Linked DNA regions of Oryza sativa Japonica Group. The protein of the gene in region 2 binds, or shares a complex with, the protein of the main gene of each other region. Links are inferred from orthologs where the notes say so. Each region holds a gene or a part of one and is shown on either strand. Other genes may lie near its edges.

The links.
Region 1: SNW/SKI-interacting protein A-like (region 2) and serine/arginine-rich splicing factor SR45a share a complex: the UniProt entries of both Arabidopsis thaliana proteins name them as parts of the spliceosome. The link is inferred for Oryza sativa Japonica Group from reciprocal best matches to the Arabidopsis thaliana genes SKIP and SR45a.
Region 3: SNW/SKI-interacting protein A-like (region 2) and serine/arginine-rich SC35-like splicing factor SCL28 share a complex: the UniProt entries of both Arabidopsis thaliana proteins name them as parts of the spliceosome. The link is inferred for Oryza sativa Japonica Group from reciprocal best matches to the Arabidopsis thaliana genes SKIP and SCL28.

The regions. Positions count from the first base shown.
Region 1 is NC_089037.1:8,817,989-8,821,939, forward strand, and holds the start of serine/arginine-rich splicing factor SR45a, read right to left. Parts: upstream 2,801-3,951; 5' UTR 2,671-2,800; intron 1,814-2,670; coding exon 1,791-1,813; intron 1,712-1,790; coding exon 1,643-1,711; intron 1,528-1,642; coding exon 1,416-1,527; intron 1,345-1,415; coding exon 1,195-1,344; intron 1,088-1,194; exon of another isoform or gene 990-1,087; intron 873-989; coding exon 809-872; intron 686-808; coding exon 60-685; 3' UTR 1-59. UniProt on the Arabidopsis thaliana protein: Probable splicing factor involved in constitutive and/or alternative splicing events. May bridge the 5' and 3' components of the spliceosome.
Region 2 is NC_089036.1:32,488,661-32,496,697, forward strand, and holds SNW/SKI-interacting protein A-like, read right to left. Parts: upstream 4,338-8,037; 5' UTR 4,237-4,337; coding exon 2,413-4,236; 3' UTR 1,981-2,412; downstream 1-1,980. Other genes in the region: protein CURVATURE THYLAKOID 1D, chloroplastic, read left to right, coding at 5,991-6,138, 6,223-6,458, 7,024-7,128, 7,399-7,470, 7,550-7,606. UniProt on the Arabidopsis thaliana protein: Splicing factor involved in post-transcriptional regulation of circadian clock and flowering time genes. Associates with the pre-mRNA of PRR7, PRR9, ELF3 and GI, and is necessary for the regulation of their alternative splicing and mRNA maturation.
Region 3 is NC_089037.1:14,526,418-14,530,654, reverse strand, and holds the start of serine/arginine-rich SC35-like splicing factor SCL28, read right to left. Parts: upstream 2,801-4,237; 5' UTR 2,710-2,800; coding exon 2,492-2,709; intron 1,017-2,491; coding exon 939-1,016; intron 568-938; coding exon 403-567; intron 288-402; coding exon 220-287; intron 140-219; coding exon 100-139; intron 1-99. Other genes in the region: pentatricopeptide repeat-containing protein At5g18950, read left to right, coding at 2,977-4,237. UniProt on the Arabidopsis thaliana protein: Involved in intron recognition and spliceosome assembly. Probably active at the 5' splice sites.

The sequences.
Region 1 (3,951 bases), on a different chromosome or scaffold from region 2:
TACAGACATACACTTAGGCATAGAGAGCTTTATTGATCTCTAGAACATCAAGCTTCAATTCATTCTGAGCGCTCCCTGGAGACAGACCTTGAGTAGGAACTGCGGCTGTGAGAGTAGCTCTCCCTAGAATGCCTCTTACCCGACGACCTGCTGCGCGACGGTTTCCTTTCACTGTATCTTTTCCTTGGAGAATAGCTCCCTGACCTCTGAGAATCCGGGGAACAGCTATGGGAGTAGCTCCTCTGAGGTGATACACTGCGAGAATAGCTCCGTCCTCTAGCACTTGGAGAATAGCACCTTCTATAGTATGGTGAAACAGAATGGTCATAGGAACATGACCTCTCTCTTCTGTAACGGTATGGAGATCTTGAACGGTAGCGGGAACCACGGTAAGATGAGTATGACCGACGCCGTGAACCACGTGTGTCATAGGGAGAGTATGATCGCCGTCTACCATAAGGAGAAGGGGATCTGCCATACGGAGAGTAGGACTGTCTCCTTTCATGTGGAGAGTAGGATCTACGCCTCTCATAGGGGGAGTATGATCTTCGCCTGTTGTATGGAGAATATGATCGCCTTCTACCATAAGGAGAATAAGACCGTTCTCGCTCAGGTGAGTAGCGTGAACTGTAGCGGTCTCTTTCAACAGGCGAGTAGCTTGGGGAATACCTCCGTGCTGGTGTCACTGTATAATAAAAAATATTCAGCAATCAGTTGTATTATATCAGGAAAGGCTAGCAATGCTTCCTATTTTCCAGAGAAATGAGACCAAACCATCCAGACACAGCAGCAGTTAAATCAAACTTACCACATGATGATTTTGTGCCTAGATACCTTCCGGGCGTTGGTGTTCGACCACGTCTTCTCTTGGCCTGTGGAAAGGATTCAAATAAGCCTTTTCGCCATATTAGCATTAAAGAGTGATGCAACAAATTGGGAATCTGAACGACATGATTAATATGGAGACTATATAATGTAGGGCATACAACCCTTTGGTTGAGGTAGCATGTTTGGCTGTTAGGTTGTAAATCTTTTGAATTTGACGTAGAGCAGCAACGGACATCTACCCTGCTGCTGTCAACAAAAGCTTCAAACGGAAGAGCACTCAAATATTCAGCTCAGCAAGCTAAATGAGCATATAAATTTCACTCCAAGTAGAAGTGAAGAAATTCAGTAAATATATTGTGATTATACCTTCTCTACAGTTATCACACGACCTTCCAACACTGAGCGGTCTAGATATTTGATGCAAAGATCAGCCTCCTTAACAGTAGCCATGGTAACAAATCCAAATCCCCGGGATTCCCTTGTCCATGGATCAAGTACTATGCTAGCATCAATAACCTGTAATACGGTGAGCTTAAAAAGTTGTACACTATTTTGGTATCCCTTTGCAGATACTCTATAAAGGTTACCTCTCCCTCAGCAGAAAAGTGTTTCTCCAGATCTCGATCTGTCACACGAGCAGATAAGCCAGTAACATACAGGTTGTTCCCAGGGTTTTCAACATCACTTGAGTCCACACTTCTAAAGACATCAAAAGGATATCACATACTCATCAGAATTACAGTAGGCAAAAATGTTCACCCTCGAATATAGAGTGAAGGCAGAAACATACTAAGCGCTAAGATAAATACCATACCTAGAACGACTCCTATACCTTGAACGGCTGCTCCGTCTGGGCGATGTAGAATATGAGTCGGACTCATATCTATCAGTAGGAGCCAATCAATAATCACAAGACAGGGCTTCAAAAAATGTGGAAAAAAATTAAGTTTGGTAATGCGTACCTTGATCCTCTGGAGTACGACATCTGCAAGATAGACATATGATTGCATCAATATCCACTAGAGAAACAAATATATACAAAAACATGAGATGCCACTTGAAAATGTAATTATAACAAACAGTGGGTTCATAGCCTTTTGAAGTTGTAACTGATTAATTTATGACACCTTGGTGACAATATGCCAATCAGTAAGATATTTTGCAAAACAAAATTATTATCTTCAGAATGAAGAGATGACCCAGAGTATATACCTAGCGCACGCCAAAAATAATCCACAAACCAACATAACGAAATGAACAAGAAACTGCAAGACAGGAGATTCTTTGTTTATTTTCAGCATGGTAATCATGAACTATAACTTATGCAATTGCGCTCAGCAATTGAAGCTTCCAACCATACAGTCCCTAAGATAAATCGACTTCCTAACACTGTCCCTAAGTTTCCTCCGAGGCATGTAGGGGCACTATGCAAGTTTCGAACTTTCGACAGTTGCGTTTCAAACTACATATACAATGGACAAAAAATGATTATGCCACAAGTTGTACAACAATTTGTTCCCTTCATTTCTTCATTTCGTGCCCCTCTAGAAACCCATGTACTAGCAATCTATACCTCTTCTTTTGCAAAGCAAATACACGCAAATCAGATCATTTTAACAAATGAGCCGCTATCCAAGATGGGGAACTCCTGCCGCAACGCTTCGAACTACAGCTAGGATTTATCTTTATATAGATTAAGAATAACAAAAATAAATAAATATAAACGGATGTTTTTATACAGATCAGAGGGGCAAACCATCGCCATACTGGAACAGAGAACGAACGGATTCACCGTCTTTAGCAGAGATAAAACATGAGGAGAATCAGAGGCAGCAATAATACCTTCCTTCGTCGCGACGATCCGTGCCCTAGCCGAGAGCGTCTCTCTGTGCCGGCCTCTCTTGTTCTCAGTCACGGCGCTGCCTTTCTGCGCGTCGGAGCGCGTGCGGTTGGGAGAATAAATGGAAGTGTGGAATGGGGAAGGTTCTGGACGGAGGCGGACGCGAAAGTTTCTCAAATCTGGTTGATGAATCGGTTGCGCGCACGAACTCCGCCTTCCTCTTCACGCCTTCACACATGGCGCTTCTTGGAGCCATTGGTTTTTCTTTCGGTTTGCAGTAAATAAAAGTTTCCCTTCAGGGTTTGGTTTACTTTCCAACTTTTTCTTCAAACTTCCAATTTTTTCATTACATCAAAAATTTTTACAAATATAAACTTTTAATTTTTTTTCTTTAAACTTTCAGTTTTAACCAAACTTCTAATTTTAGTGTAGAACTAAACACACAGCCTAGACCTCTTTTGGTCCTATAGAAAATTAGAGCATTTTAATTATAATGATAATTCTAACGAGTTTTTTTTAAACAAATAATTCAATCCTATACTCCCCTGTAAAATTTCTATAAAATGGACACCCCCAACAGAGATTTTAATGAAAATATAAGAGTTACAATCCTTATGTGTCTTACAATTGTATTGTTCATCTATGTTACAAATATTAGGGCATGTTTAGTTCGCGGAATGAAATTTTTTGGGTGTCACGTCGGACGTTTGACCGGATGTCGAAAGGGGTTTTCGGACATGAATGAAAAAACTAATTTCATAACTCGCTTGGAAATCGCGAGACGAATCTTTTGAGTCTAATTAATCCACCATTAGCACATGTGGGTTACTGTAGCACTTATGGCTAATCATGGACTAATTAGACTCAAAAGATTCATCTCACGATTTCCCCCCTAACTGTGTAATTAGTTTTTCTTTTAATCTACATTTAATGCTCCATACATGTGTCCAAATATTCGATTTGATATTTTTGGAACTAAACGGGGCCTAAGGGTGTGTTTGGTTCTTCCCTTTCCCAACTTCAAATCTTTGTTTTATGTGCGCACGCTTTCCGAACTGTTAAATGGTGTGTCCTTTTACAAATGAAAAATTCTATGTGTGAACCTCAACATAGGAAAATAATAATAATAAAAAGAATGGTTGATTGATTTTGCTTTAGCTGTTCTATTTGTCAGAGTAATTATCGAGTTATGAAATGCTATCTCCATCCAAATCGCACCCCCATTGGTTGGCTTATTCTTGGAATAAGCCAAACGACACATTTACAAACAATAAGTAATTTGT
Region 2 (8,037 bases):
ATTCAGTTGTACTCGATGATAAAGCGAACACCAAATCCGAATATAATCTCGGGGGGAAAACCGGTGCACGTCACGCTGCCCGTGCCAACCATCTGTTTACCTACCTCTTTCTCTCTCTTCCTCTCTCTAGTTCGATCATTCGTTTCGGTGATGGCGACTGGGTTTGCGTTGCGAATGCAAAGCTCTCCGATTCAAACAGTGTCATGATAACCTGATAACCGCGTAGGACATGGATCGATGGGGACGACGAGGACGACGGCTACGCTGCTATGATATGCTGGATAGCAAAGAACGTTTCTTTCTTTGCCTTTGGTGCGGAATCTCCTGCAGCGGCATGGTGACGTGAACCTGATTTTAGCTGCTGAATTTGGGAGATTTTGGATTCGATCGATCGATCGGCTACGAGCGGCCATGGCTGCATTGAGGGGGTTAAGGGTTCAGAGTAAGAATCAATCACAAGTTGGGTTGCTAGAGTTGACCGACGCAAAATACTTTACGAGATTATTGCCATGAGGAATAAGGTGGACTGACGTGCAAGCATATTTGCAGTTTGCAGTCAGTAATGTACAGTTTTTCCTTTTTCTTTCAGTTTTTACTTTGTACTTAAACTTCTTTTATCAATATAGCGTAAAGCAATCTTGTTTGGCCGTTGAAAAAAAAGGAGAAGGGTTCAGAGTGAGGTCAGAGACGAATTTATTTCATTTTTAATTTTTTTCTTTTAATATTTACAGAAATAATCTATTGGCACAAAAAATTACAAAAATAGACCCTGCCGCTCTAATGGAGGGCGGCAAGCTAACGTGGCAGACGGCGGCTCGACGGCGCCGTCTGCCGCCGTCTGCGAAAATTGCATTTAGCCCCTTGCCGCTCTCTGTAAGGGCGGCAAGGGGCTAAATGCAATTTTCACAGCCCTAAAGAGCATTTGGCTGGTACTTTTTGCATCTAGGCCCCTTGCCGTCTTATTAGAGGGCGGCAAGGGACCCAGATGTAAAAAGTACCAGCCAAAAAGTACTAGGCTCGGGCTGGCTTTTTTGCATGGGGGCCAGAGGGCGGCAAGGGTTTTCGTGCAAAAAAAACCCTCCCTCTCCCGTCTGCCGTCACCGCCCGTCCCTCCCCCGTTTGCCACGTCAGCTTGCCGCCCTAGTGGAGGGCGGCAGGGGTCTATTTTTGTAATTTTTTGCGCCGATGGATTATTTCTGTAAATATTAAAAGAAAAAAATTAAAAATGAAAAAAATTCGTCAGAGACCGAGGTTCTCTTTGTCACTGGGAAGAGTAGCATCAGGATCTTGGGCTCAGATATGAGCAAGGAAGAAAGTGAGGTGCTTTTTGTAGCCGAACAGGGGTGCCGATGGAACCTCAAGGTTGCTCGGCTGCTTCGTTTGGGCCTAGGCATTAAGCAGGCCGGAGTTATCAGCCAGCGTAATTTGCTCAGCCCGTCAGAAAATTACGGTTTTCAGCTTTGAGAAAATTCCATCCATGCCATGAAGATTTTGGCCAAAATCAAAGAACACCAAAATCCTGTTATTTGCGCTTCACACAAGAAAACGTGCTAATGAAAACTTTCCTCTTCACTGTGTTCCTAATTTCCTATAGCTGAATCTGCATACCTGAAGAAAAACACAACACTATGGCTGAATCTACATAACTAAAGGAAAAGACAAAACAAACTGAAAGTGTGTATCTGTTCAGATTCTAATACTAAGATATATCATATCATGTATTAAGTTTATTTATTTTAGGATGGATAGTGTTTTAAAATTATGCCATGATCTTACCAGTAATAATCACAAAAGAGAAGTTATTTAATCCGAAAGTTGGTACTACAGAAACCACATCAACTGCAAGCAAAGGGAATGCTCCGGCAAAGTCTTGCAACAGAAAATGCTTACCGACAAAAAATTTTCGAAGAATTCACTATTTGCACAAAACATGAATATCCCCAAAACAACATACCGATATTGGCAATACCCAGAAATCCATCCAGCCAACAATCATGGTAGCATGAAATAATTAGAACTTGTGAAAAAACAGAACACGGAATTTATATGTATCCCGTGTCTCAGTATTTCAGCCAGATAGGCAGATACATCTTAAAGACTTGGTACAGTACCAGAAAATGTAAGGTCAGCCAGACACATCGAGACTTCATAAAGCACCACAAAATATAAGGGATATGGAATGATGATAAGTTAAGCTTACAGATCCATCCACAAATAGATAAACAACAAGCATAATCACAGGATCTAAACAGGTACACTCCTTAAGATGCCCCTTGGAAGTAGACGTTGCATTAAGACAACTCAGACATCAAGTCCTCTCATCAAGAAGTTGATATTCTCAACAGAATACCCTCCAGATAACATTTGGAATGCATGGAGAAACTTCTGAACAAAACATGCAGATCTAATACCTCAACGACCTCTTTCAAAGTTAATGCGGGACCTCCCAGATCCTCCACCCTCGTAATCATCTCTCATTGAGGATCCACCACTTGCCCTCATGGCTCCTCCGCTTCCAATCTTCTCAACAGCTTTCTTCCCCTTCTTCACTTCAGTCAAGAACTGATCAAGACCGAAGGGATCATTCTCCTCCTGTTTATCAAACTCCACAGGTCTGTCTCTCTTTCCAGACCTCTCTGAAGCACCAGAAAATCCTTTGTCTGGTTTGAACCTATCTGTCTTCATAACCTTCTCCAGTTGTTCATCTGCATCGCCATACACATCAGAATCACCGTCCTTCTTAGGCCTGTAAAGTGTGGATAGCGTTGGCTGCGCTGTGAAGAGACCCTTGGAGTAGATGTTATACTGATCATCTGTAGCAAACCCAGAGTCCATTCCTTTATCCTGGTTGAACAACCTCTGGTCATACATGACTTCCCCACCTTTAGCACCGCCAGTGCTTGCCATGCCCAGGGCAATCTTCTCACTGACATCACGATCCCTGTCTCTAGTGAGCTTACTCTTCTTGCCCATTGCAGCATCCCTGGCCTCCAGCCTCCTCTCTCTCTCCCTCTCACGTCTCCTCTCCTCACGAATCCTGTCACGCTCAATCCTTGCTTCCCTTTCTTCTCTACTCTCCCTTCGTTGCTCACGAGGCTGCTCCAAATCCATATCTTCCTCCCTGTCATCAACAGCACCTCTACCACCACCAGCAGGAACCCCTGTAGGTGCAGGTGGGGCACCAGTCCTCTCCATGCGCGCCTTCTGTGCAAGTGCCCTTAGCTCTTGCTCCTTCCTCTCCTTCTCCTTCAGCTGCAGCTCCCTCTGCACCTTGGATCGCATCTGTACTGCCTCCCTGGCCTTCTGCTCCGCCACATACAGTGCTTCAGAGAGCTTTGCAAAGTTATCATTAATTTGAACCTCCTGCAGCCCCCTTCCATCAGCTGCCAACCTCTTGTCGAGTGGTATGGTGTAACCCTTTGGATTTTTCCAATTTGAAATGCATGGTGGAATCTTCCAATCTTGCTGGTCCTTCACTGTCACTGGCCGTGGTGGCGAGTGCATCACTGGGACAGGCGGTGATCCAGAAGCGCGGGGCACTCGCTTATGCTTGAATTTCGGTGGCTCAAGAGGATCCTGAGCCATCTCTGACATCCTAATAATCCTCTCCTTGGCACCTGAATTGAAGGCTGCCGATTGCTGCGATGGCTTATACTTGATAAACTTTGACTCTGAATCATGCGTCGGCACATTCTTGGGCTGTGCGGCGGAGAGCCGAACATTGACAACCTTCTCCAAGGCAGCTTTAGTTCGTTCAGTGGTTTCTTCGATCTGTTTCTGGTACTCCTCGTCGTCCGCGGTTGCCTCGGAATCAGCCGTGGCAATCTTGGGCACGAGGTCGCTGTGCTTTGAGTAAACGATCTTAGAGGCGTTCTCACCCTGCTTCACGACGGCGTCGAAGGCGACGCTGCCCTTGGCGTCGACGGTGAGCGCGAGGATCTTCGAGCCGCCCTTCTCGTCGCGCCGGCCCATGCCGAGCGGGTACTGCGCGACGTGGATCTCCGGGAAGGCGCCGCCGTCCCCGAAGTCCTCCGGCCGCCGCGGCACGAACCCGCCACGCTTCCCGTACGGCGGCACGGGCTTGGCGGGGCCCGAAGGCTTCGCCGCCGCCGCCGCCGCGTCGGATTGCGCCGACTCCCCGCCATACCGCTCCTTGAACCACGGGTCGCTGCTGTGGTCGTAGAACGTCGACGCCGCCGCCTTGGGCGTCGGGAGGAGCTCCTTGAGGGACGCCATGGCTAGCACGGCGGCAAGCCGCGCGGGATCTAGGGCTAGGGTTCCGGCGAGTCGCTGGGTGGGGGATCGGGAATCGAAGAGGAAAAGCTAGGGTTTGGTTCGATTCGTGTAATTATTTGGGCAACGCGATAAGAGAAGCTGACCACGGTGGCCGGTGGGGTTATGGCGGCTACCGGATGGGCTAGGCCCGATAAGAATTTGGGCTGGGCCGATAAATATGCACCAAATCCTTAGCCAATCCGAAGCAAATACCATCGTGTCTGAGACTTCTAGTCCGAAACAAAATAATTCCTTGGGCTGGAAACTATTAATACTGGTGATGATGATAACTGGGTTGAATCCTGAGAGGATAGGAAAGAGGGGATTGAGAAGATACGCAAAATAAGGTGAGGTGAGCCATTAGTGTATTATTAATTGAGTATTAACTATTGTAAGTTTTAAAAATAGATTAATATGATTTTTTAAAACAACTTTTCAAAAGAATTTTTTTTTGCCAAAAACGCATCGTTTAGTAGTTTGGGAAGTGTGCGCGTAGAAAAGTAGATGTTTTCTCCTCAATCTCCCAGCAATCTCTCCTGCTCGAACGGAGCCATGCTTGTCTGCACGGGTAATGGCTACTCCCTCCGTCTCATAAAAAACCAACATAGTACTTCCTAGTACAATAAATCTGGACATACATATGTCCAGATTCGTTCTACTAGGATATGTCACATTCTATATTTTAGATTTATTTTTTTTTGGACGGAGTGAGTAACGAGTAACGAGGCTACGGTATTAACGGCTCGGAATGTTTGCCTGTTTGTTTAACGAGAATAAATGAGACTGACAAGTGGGCCCATTAATTTCGCTTGCTAACACGAGTTTAATCTGCCAATTTGGGCTCCACATGACACACATTGTCACCACCCAGCCAGGCCCACGCGCGTGGTCGGTGAAAATGCTAGGCCTACTTACTGTGCCAGCCCAAATTATCCTACTAAGTACAACGTAAGGAAGCGGGCTGGAGACCGGACGGAATGGTATACCTGCAGTACTGGGCCTTCTCAAAGGCCGTGTTACCAGCCGACAAAATTTTTGGTCCACTAGAAAATGTTACCCCAAATGTTAATGTATTATCCCAGGAAAAAGAGAAAGTGCCTATGTAATGTGTCAGTTCTATGGTTGGCTAGCGAATGAAAATCTGCCGTACTAAAATAAATAGAAAATATTTTATGGACTTGGAAAAAATGGTGGCGTGGAAGTACCCAGACAACTCGATCTAAATGGGCAGCACATACTACTCCACATGTACTACGGACACTATCAATTTGTTTGTATTTTAACAGGCCAAAATCTTCTAGAATACGAATTATGCTACAGTTAAATTGCATGGTACAGGACTACAGTTACAGGGAGTATAATTGTACCAGAAAAAGAAGAATGAAAATGAAAGTAGATCCATCCAAAGAATGCGAAACCACACCACACACACAGGTGGTACTCAGAGAAAAGGAGCGAGCAAAAGAGAAAGCGCCACATGTCACCCTCCAAAAGCACAAACAAAAAATCAGGGTGTGTGAAAAAAGAGAAGAAAAAGAAAAAGAAAAGAAAAATTCGGACAGCATCAGCACAAGTAGTAGTAGTGCACAGCTCACTCGCACAGTCTCACTGAGCCACTAGCCCACCACCACCCTCATCCTCCTCCCAGCTCACAAAAACCTCAAACCCCCAGCCTTCTCGGGCCTCCACAGAAAGCCGAGGAAGAGAAAAAAAAAATGGAGCTCTTCGTCTCCACCGTCGCCTCCGCGCGCGCCACCGCCCCCTTATGCTTCGCCTCCTCCTTCCACCACCGCCGCGCTGCTCCTCCCGCCGTCGCCGCCGCCGCCACCCTCCGCCGCAGCAACCGCCACCTCCCGACTCGAGGTGCCCGAACGCGCCACGATTTTTTTTGATTGATTGATTGATTATCTTTCTGACGGTTTTGCTGTTGGTGATGGTTGTCGCCAGGATGGCGGTGCGCGAGCGCGGCGGCGCCGGACCCGGTGCCATCGGAGGAGCCCGCGTCGGCGTCGGCGTCCACCGTCGTCGTCACGGAGGACAAGCCCGATCCGCCGCCGGCGGAGGAGAAGAGCGAGGAGGTCGCGGCGGTCTCTAATGGCGGGTCTCTGGAGACCGTGGCGGCGGCGCCGGTGTCGTCGGGGGCAGCCGAGGAGGACGGCGGCTTGGATGACATCCTCAGCAAGGTATTGCCTCGTTGTACCTGTTGATGTTTCTGAATTGATCGCCAATTCTGACATATCAATGCCCAATTACCTGTTGCTGTCAAATGATTGAGAGGAGAGACGAGTTGAAGAATATTGCATACAGAAGTATGGTGAAGAATCCAATGACAAATGCATACTTGATAGATCTCAAAATGTAAAATTGAGTTCAGTCACCGACTCGTGTACCAAAATGTGAGAGTTTGTGAGCTGGGTGATTAGGACCTAGCATGAGGTTTGCAGAGACAGAGCTCTAAACCCCAACACATGATAGACAGAAACAAATGCCATATGCCATAGTTTTCTTGCTATGGATTGAAGTTTGATTGTTTCATGTATAGCGTACCACATTGTTTTTTTTCCTTCTATTTCTGTTAACTCAGAAGCGAGTGTATGTATCACCATAATCTCATCTTTCCTGCATCCATTTCCATATATTCAGCTTGCCTGTTCTTGTGTTTGCTATACGGGATGAGGCATTGAAACGCCTTTGCTGTACTGCATTTAGTACTGTTGCTCACACAAATTTTTTAATCGTTCATTTCAGCTGGACATCCAAGTGACACCAACTCTTGTCCTCTATGGATCCGGTGCTTTGGTTGTCCTATGGGTTCTATCTTCAGTTGTTTCTGCAATCGATTCCATTCCCTTGGTATGTAGATATGACATTTTTCACCAAATATGTAGATATGACATTGTTTACAAATTTGTATGTATCGAAAATAGTTAAAATCTGTCTTCAAACCGCTCCTGGTATATACGCCTAGTTGTCCATTATCTGAAAAATGTAGTCCTAGTTGTCCAGTATCTGAAAAATGTAGTTCTAGTTGTCAGCAGTAGTAGGGTTGATATAGTTTTGTCGTACTTATTACTTGAAGAGTTTACACTGTACTTCCTAAACCGCTTGATCATCTCATTGCAGGTTCCAAAAGTTCTTGAACTCATAGGAACTGGTTACTCAATTTGGTTCACTTCACGGTACCTCCTCTTCAAGGTACATTTTCAACTCCCTACAAAGCAAGCGCCAGTCATTCCTGTTGTGTGATCCTAAGATCATTTTATCATATATGCAGGAAAGCAGGGACAAACTGTTTGCGAAATTCGAAGATCTGAAAGAGAGGATTATTTGAGCTCACGATGAATGATCCTATGGTGTATGTTAGGCTTCGCAGCCAACTTATTATTAGGTCTTCTTTTTTCTATTACTGAAAGGGAAAAAAGTTGTGTATGTAAGCCACGTTTCTTTCGCTTCAAATATGATCAGACATCCATAGATTTTTGTTTGTTAGAGCGGAGCTTGCTCAAGTCTTTCTGGTTTTTTTACCACTTGATCCGATGTATATACTCCATACTGAAAGTGCCGCCAACTGTGAAGCTGTGTACCTTGGATACATAATAATATATCAAATGGGTCGACCTTCATATTTGGTAAATTGCTTCAGCACATAACTGTCCGTCCCTTTTGTTGTAAAGAACTATTGAGTTTTGACACATTGAAAATTGAGTGGGAGAAGCAGTGTCACCAACAGATCAGCTGATATTTTCCCTAATTCCCTTCCGA
Region 3 (4,237 bases), on a different chromosome or scaffold from region 2:
AGAGATGTTTGAAAGGAAAAAGAGTGAAACACTGACAAACAGGAGAGGACAAGCGTATTTGCTATGCTATATGTAAATACTAAAATATTGAGATGATACCTGTAGTCACGTCTAGCTGGAGAGGGTGAAGGTGAATAAGCTGACAGGAAATAGAGATCATTTAGTGATGAGATTAAAAATCATAAAATATTAACTCATATAACAAACATTTATACTTACAATGGTAACGAGACCTTGGAGATCTTGATACTGACCGCCTTCTGTGGCTACCATCCATGTATCTTCCACTACACAGACAGAAGCACAAAGCATTTCTTTTGTTACATCAAATTCCAGTCGCTGCTATCATATATATTCCAAATGCCTAATCTGGAAGTTGGTAAAATATAAAAAATTAAGCACCTTGTTCTTGTCCTCATCCGCATTTCTTGTGGGGTTTTTCTGTTCTCCTCGGCAAAAACTATTGAAATCTCTCGTCCACCAATAACTTGATGATTCAATTCTTGCTTGGCCACTGCAGCATCTTCTGGATAGCGGAATTTTACAAACCCAAAGCCACGTAATTCCCTACAACAATTTAACACGATCATGGAAGTGATTGTGAATCAGACAAAATCAATATACACATCAAAAGACATTCTTAAAAGAACACAGAATGTGCAACAAGCATCTATAAACCCTATTTCCAAGCAGAATACATGGTTCAGACCAACATCAAAGCACAAGCATAAGGCAGCCTGGAAACAAATGCTCTTTGAAATGTTCATAATAATGATAAAAATTACTGGGTTCAATTAACGCAATTTCTTCATGTTGTTCAAAGAATTGCTTATCTTCTGTGCAACATGATAAACGTTCCAGAATTAAGATATTGACTTAACTAGAACTCAAATGCACCAAAACAATTGTGTAAGAAACATAAGATAAGTTATTATTACCTTGTATGGAAATTTCTTGGAAGGTAGACATCCTTTACAGGGCCAAATTGCTCAAACGGAATACGAATATCTTCAGGCCTGCAAAAAACGAAAATCAAATAATATTAAACCATAATTAGTAGCTACAGTGCAAAATCATCTACATACAAAAAGAAGATACTTCAGTATGTGATTGTGGAAAGCTGTATATAAGAATGATTTACTGTGCACTGGCTACTTATGTACTACATGCTTGCAGTGTAGAAAATGTTGACTTAAAAAAAAGATCCTGAGCGTTCCAAACTATCGAGAAGGGAACCTAGAACAGTAGCATTATGTCTCCAAACTACAAGATCTGAATTATCAAAGGTTGCAACCACTGTCTATATACAAATATGAATACATCCAGAGTTCATACATTTGTTTTTGTTTTCCAGAGACATAAGCAGCATTATATGATGCAAAGTTCATAAAACAACGGTTCTGCTAACAAAGCCATATCTAAAAGAACTAGATTAATTCTAGGAACACTTAAAGGAACACAATTTAGTGCTTACAATTTAGCCTCTACCGAAATAAAACTTCATAATAGATCTGAAAAATGTTCCATCTCAATATATGCAGTTAAAATCCAACCTGACACTTGAGTTGTTAAAACCTGGTAACAAGACATTTGGGTGAAAGCTTGGATGATACAAAAAAATGCAAGAGAAATGCTAATCCACATATGTGGACATCCATGCACTGTTGTATCTGCCTGTTTGGGGGAGCTTTAGATTATGAGAAGCAGCTGTTTGGTAGCCAGCTTCTGAGAATCTGGAAAAGCTCTGAAACCCAGCTTCTCCAGCTTATGGCTTCTTAGTTCATTTTTCAGAACTACAGATTCTCAGAAGCTGTGGACTGTTTGGGGCAGCTTCTAGCAGAAGCAGCTTTTGGGAAAAGCTGCAGCTGGGACAAGCTCCCCAAACAGGGCCTAAAGTGCTAGGAAATTTTTAATGTACAATAAGAGCTATTTGAAGATGGGAATTCTGGTTTGCATGTCTAACTGATGCATGAATCTCAAGGCACTCTGTACAGATGAACATCCAATGCGCAAAACCATTAGAAAAATGCATTAGGTTACTAAGGTAGGGTATGGAATATGGAAGCTACCTATACCAACATGTTCAACCTTAGTGAATGGCTTCCAAAACATTTGTTCTCTCCTAGAGAGCAACAAGTGTGAAACAGCCCACTACCATGAGTCCAGCAAGCATTTGCTGGCATACAAACTATCAGGAAAAAAACCGTCGTATTTTCTCAACAGTTCCACATCAAAACAAACCTGCTCTGTTTTTTATTCTGAATACAGCAACAAATAAAAACACATATAAGACTGAAAAGCACAGAAGCACACAACCAAGCCTAATGCAACTACCAAACAAAACAATGTGCAGATTCACAGGGATTACACACTGAACGTATCAACCAAACCACATAGCGCTGTGCTACTAGCAATTATTCAAATTGCGGTAAGCCCTAGATCAAATGGGCAAAAAAAAAATAATAATCCAAAGAGGGCAACGGCTACGCACCTTGCGGTGAGCGAGATGTTGCGGACGAGGAGCCCGGTCGGCGCAGGCGGCCGGCCATACCCGCGGCGGGGCCCTTCGCCTCCACCTCCACCTCCACCTCCGCCGCGAGGATAGCGGTCGCGCGGGTCATCGTACCGCTTGTACCGCGGGGGGCTCCGGCTGTACCTCCGGCGCGGCTGCGGGCTGTAGCTCCGGCTCCGGCTCCGGTACCCGGCCATCGCCGCCGACTCGCCGCGACCCGGCCTAGGGTTTCTCTGAGGTTTGGATTTTTTTTTCTTTCTGTCGACGAAGGCTTGGGCGAGGAGAGGTGACGATGCAGCACGGCACGGGGCGCTTTTATCTAGGAGAACTCGAAGGCCCATGGGCCCATGGGCCAGCGGCCCATCTGACCCGCCTCCAAGCCTGGAAAAGTCTTCGTAGGCAAACCTGGCCGCGGCCACCGTGACACACTTGACACTCCTCGCGCCGCCGCCGCCGCCGCCACGATGCTGCGGCCGGTGCGTCATTCCGTGCAGCGCCTCTGCTCCACCTCCACCTCCGCCGCCGCCGCTGCTGCCGACGCCAACAACCCGCCGCCGGCCACCTTCCTGGCCGCGGCCGCCACGGCCGCGGCGAACATCCTCGGCGCGGCGCGCTACGAGTCCCGCCTCCTCTCGCTCCTCCCCGGCGACCTCCTCTTCCACCCGGCCTGCGTCCGCCTCACCCTCTCCCACCTCCTGCCTTCCCCTGACCCCTCCCTCCGCTTCCTGCGCTTCCTCTCCTCGCACCTCCCCGCCGCCCCCGACGCCGCACCGGCGGAGCCCGAGCACGAGCACGAGCACGAGCCGCCGCTCCTCCCCGGCGTGGACGGCTTCCTGATCCAGCTCTGGCCGCCCGACGCCGCCGACGCCGCCGAGGTGCTCGCCTCACGCCTCGGCATCCACCCCTCCCTCCGCGCCCTCAACTTCGCGATGCGCTCCGCCCTCCGCGCCGCGCGCCCCGACCTCGTCTTCCGCCTCTTCTCCGCGTTCTCATCCTCCCCGGACTTCCCGGGCGACGCCGCCACCGTGGCCTTCCTCGTGCGCGCCTGCTCCGCCGAGGGCCGTCCGCTCGACGGCCTCCGCCTCCTCCGCGACGGGGCTCGCCGCGGCGTCCCTCCCCAGCTTGACGCCGTTGCGGATCTCGTCGCGGCCTTCTCCGCCGCCGCCAACTTCGGCAAGGTGTCCGAGACGCTCCACCTCATGATCGCCGCGGGAAGTGTCCCAGATACGGTCATCTACCAGCGCATTATCCACGGGCTTTTCGCGCACAAGATGGGAAGCGAGGCCCTGCGAGTCTTCAACGAGATCAAGCTGCGGGGCTACAACGTCGATGCGGTCACATACACAACGGCGATCGACGGATTGTGCAAGATGGGCTGCATAGACGAAGCGCGGCAAATCTGGAATGAGATGGTGGACAAAGGAATGGAGCCTAACGAGTATGCCTACTGCTCTCTGGTGGCCTACTATTGTAAAGCTGGTGATTTCGAGATGGCTCGCAAGGTGTATGATGAAATGCTCGGGAAGGGTTTAAAGGAGAGTACAGTCAGCTGTAACATTTTGGTCACAGGGTTTTGTACCCATGGGAGGGTGGACGAAGCGCTTGGGATGTTTGAGGAAATGGTTAAAAAGGGGATTGAGCATGATGTGATTACTTACAACATATTGATTCAGGGCTTATGCAAGGCTGGGAGGTTGAGTGAGGCAATACAGGTGTACGAGCAGC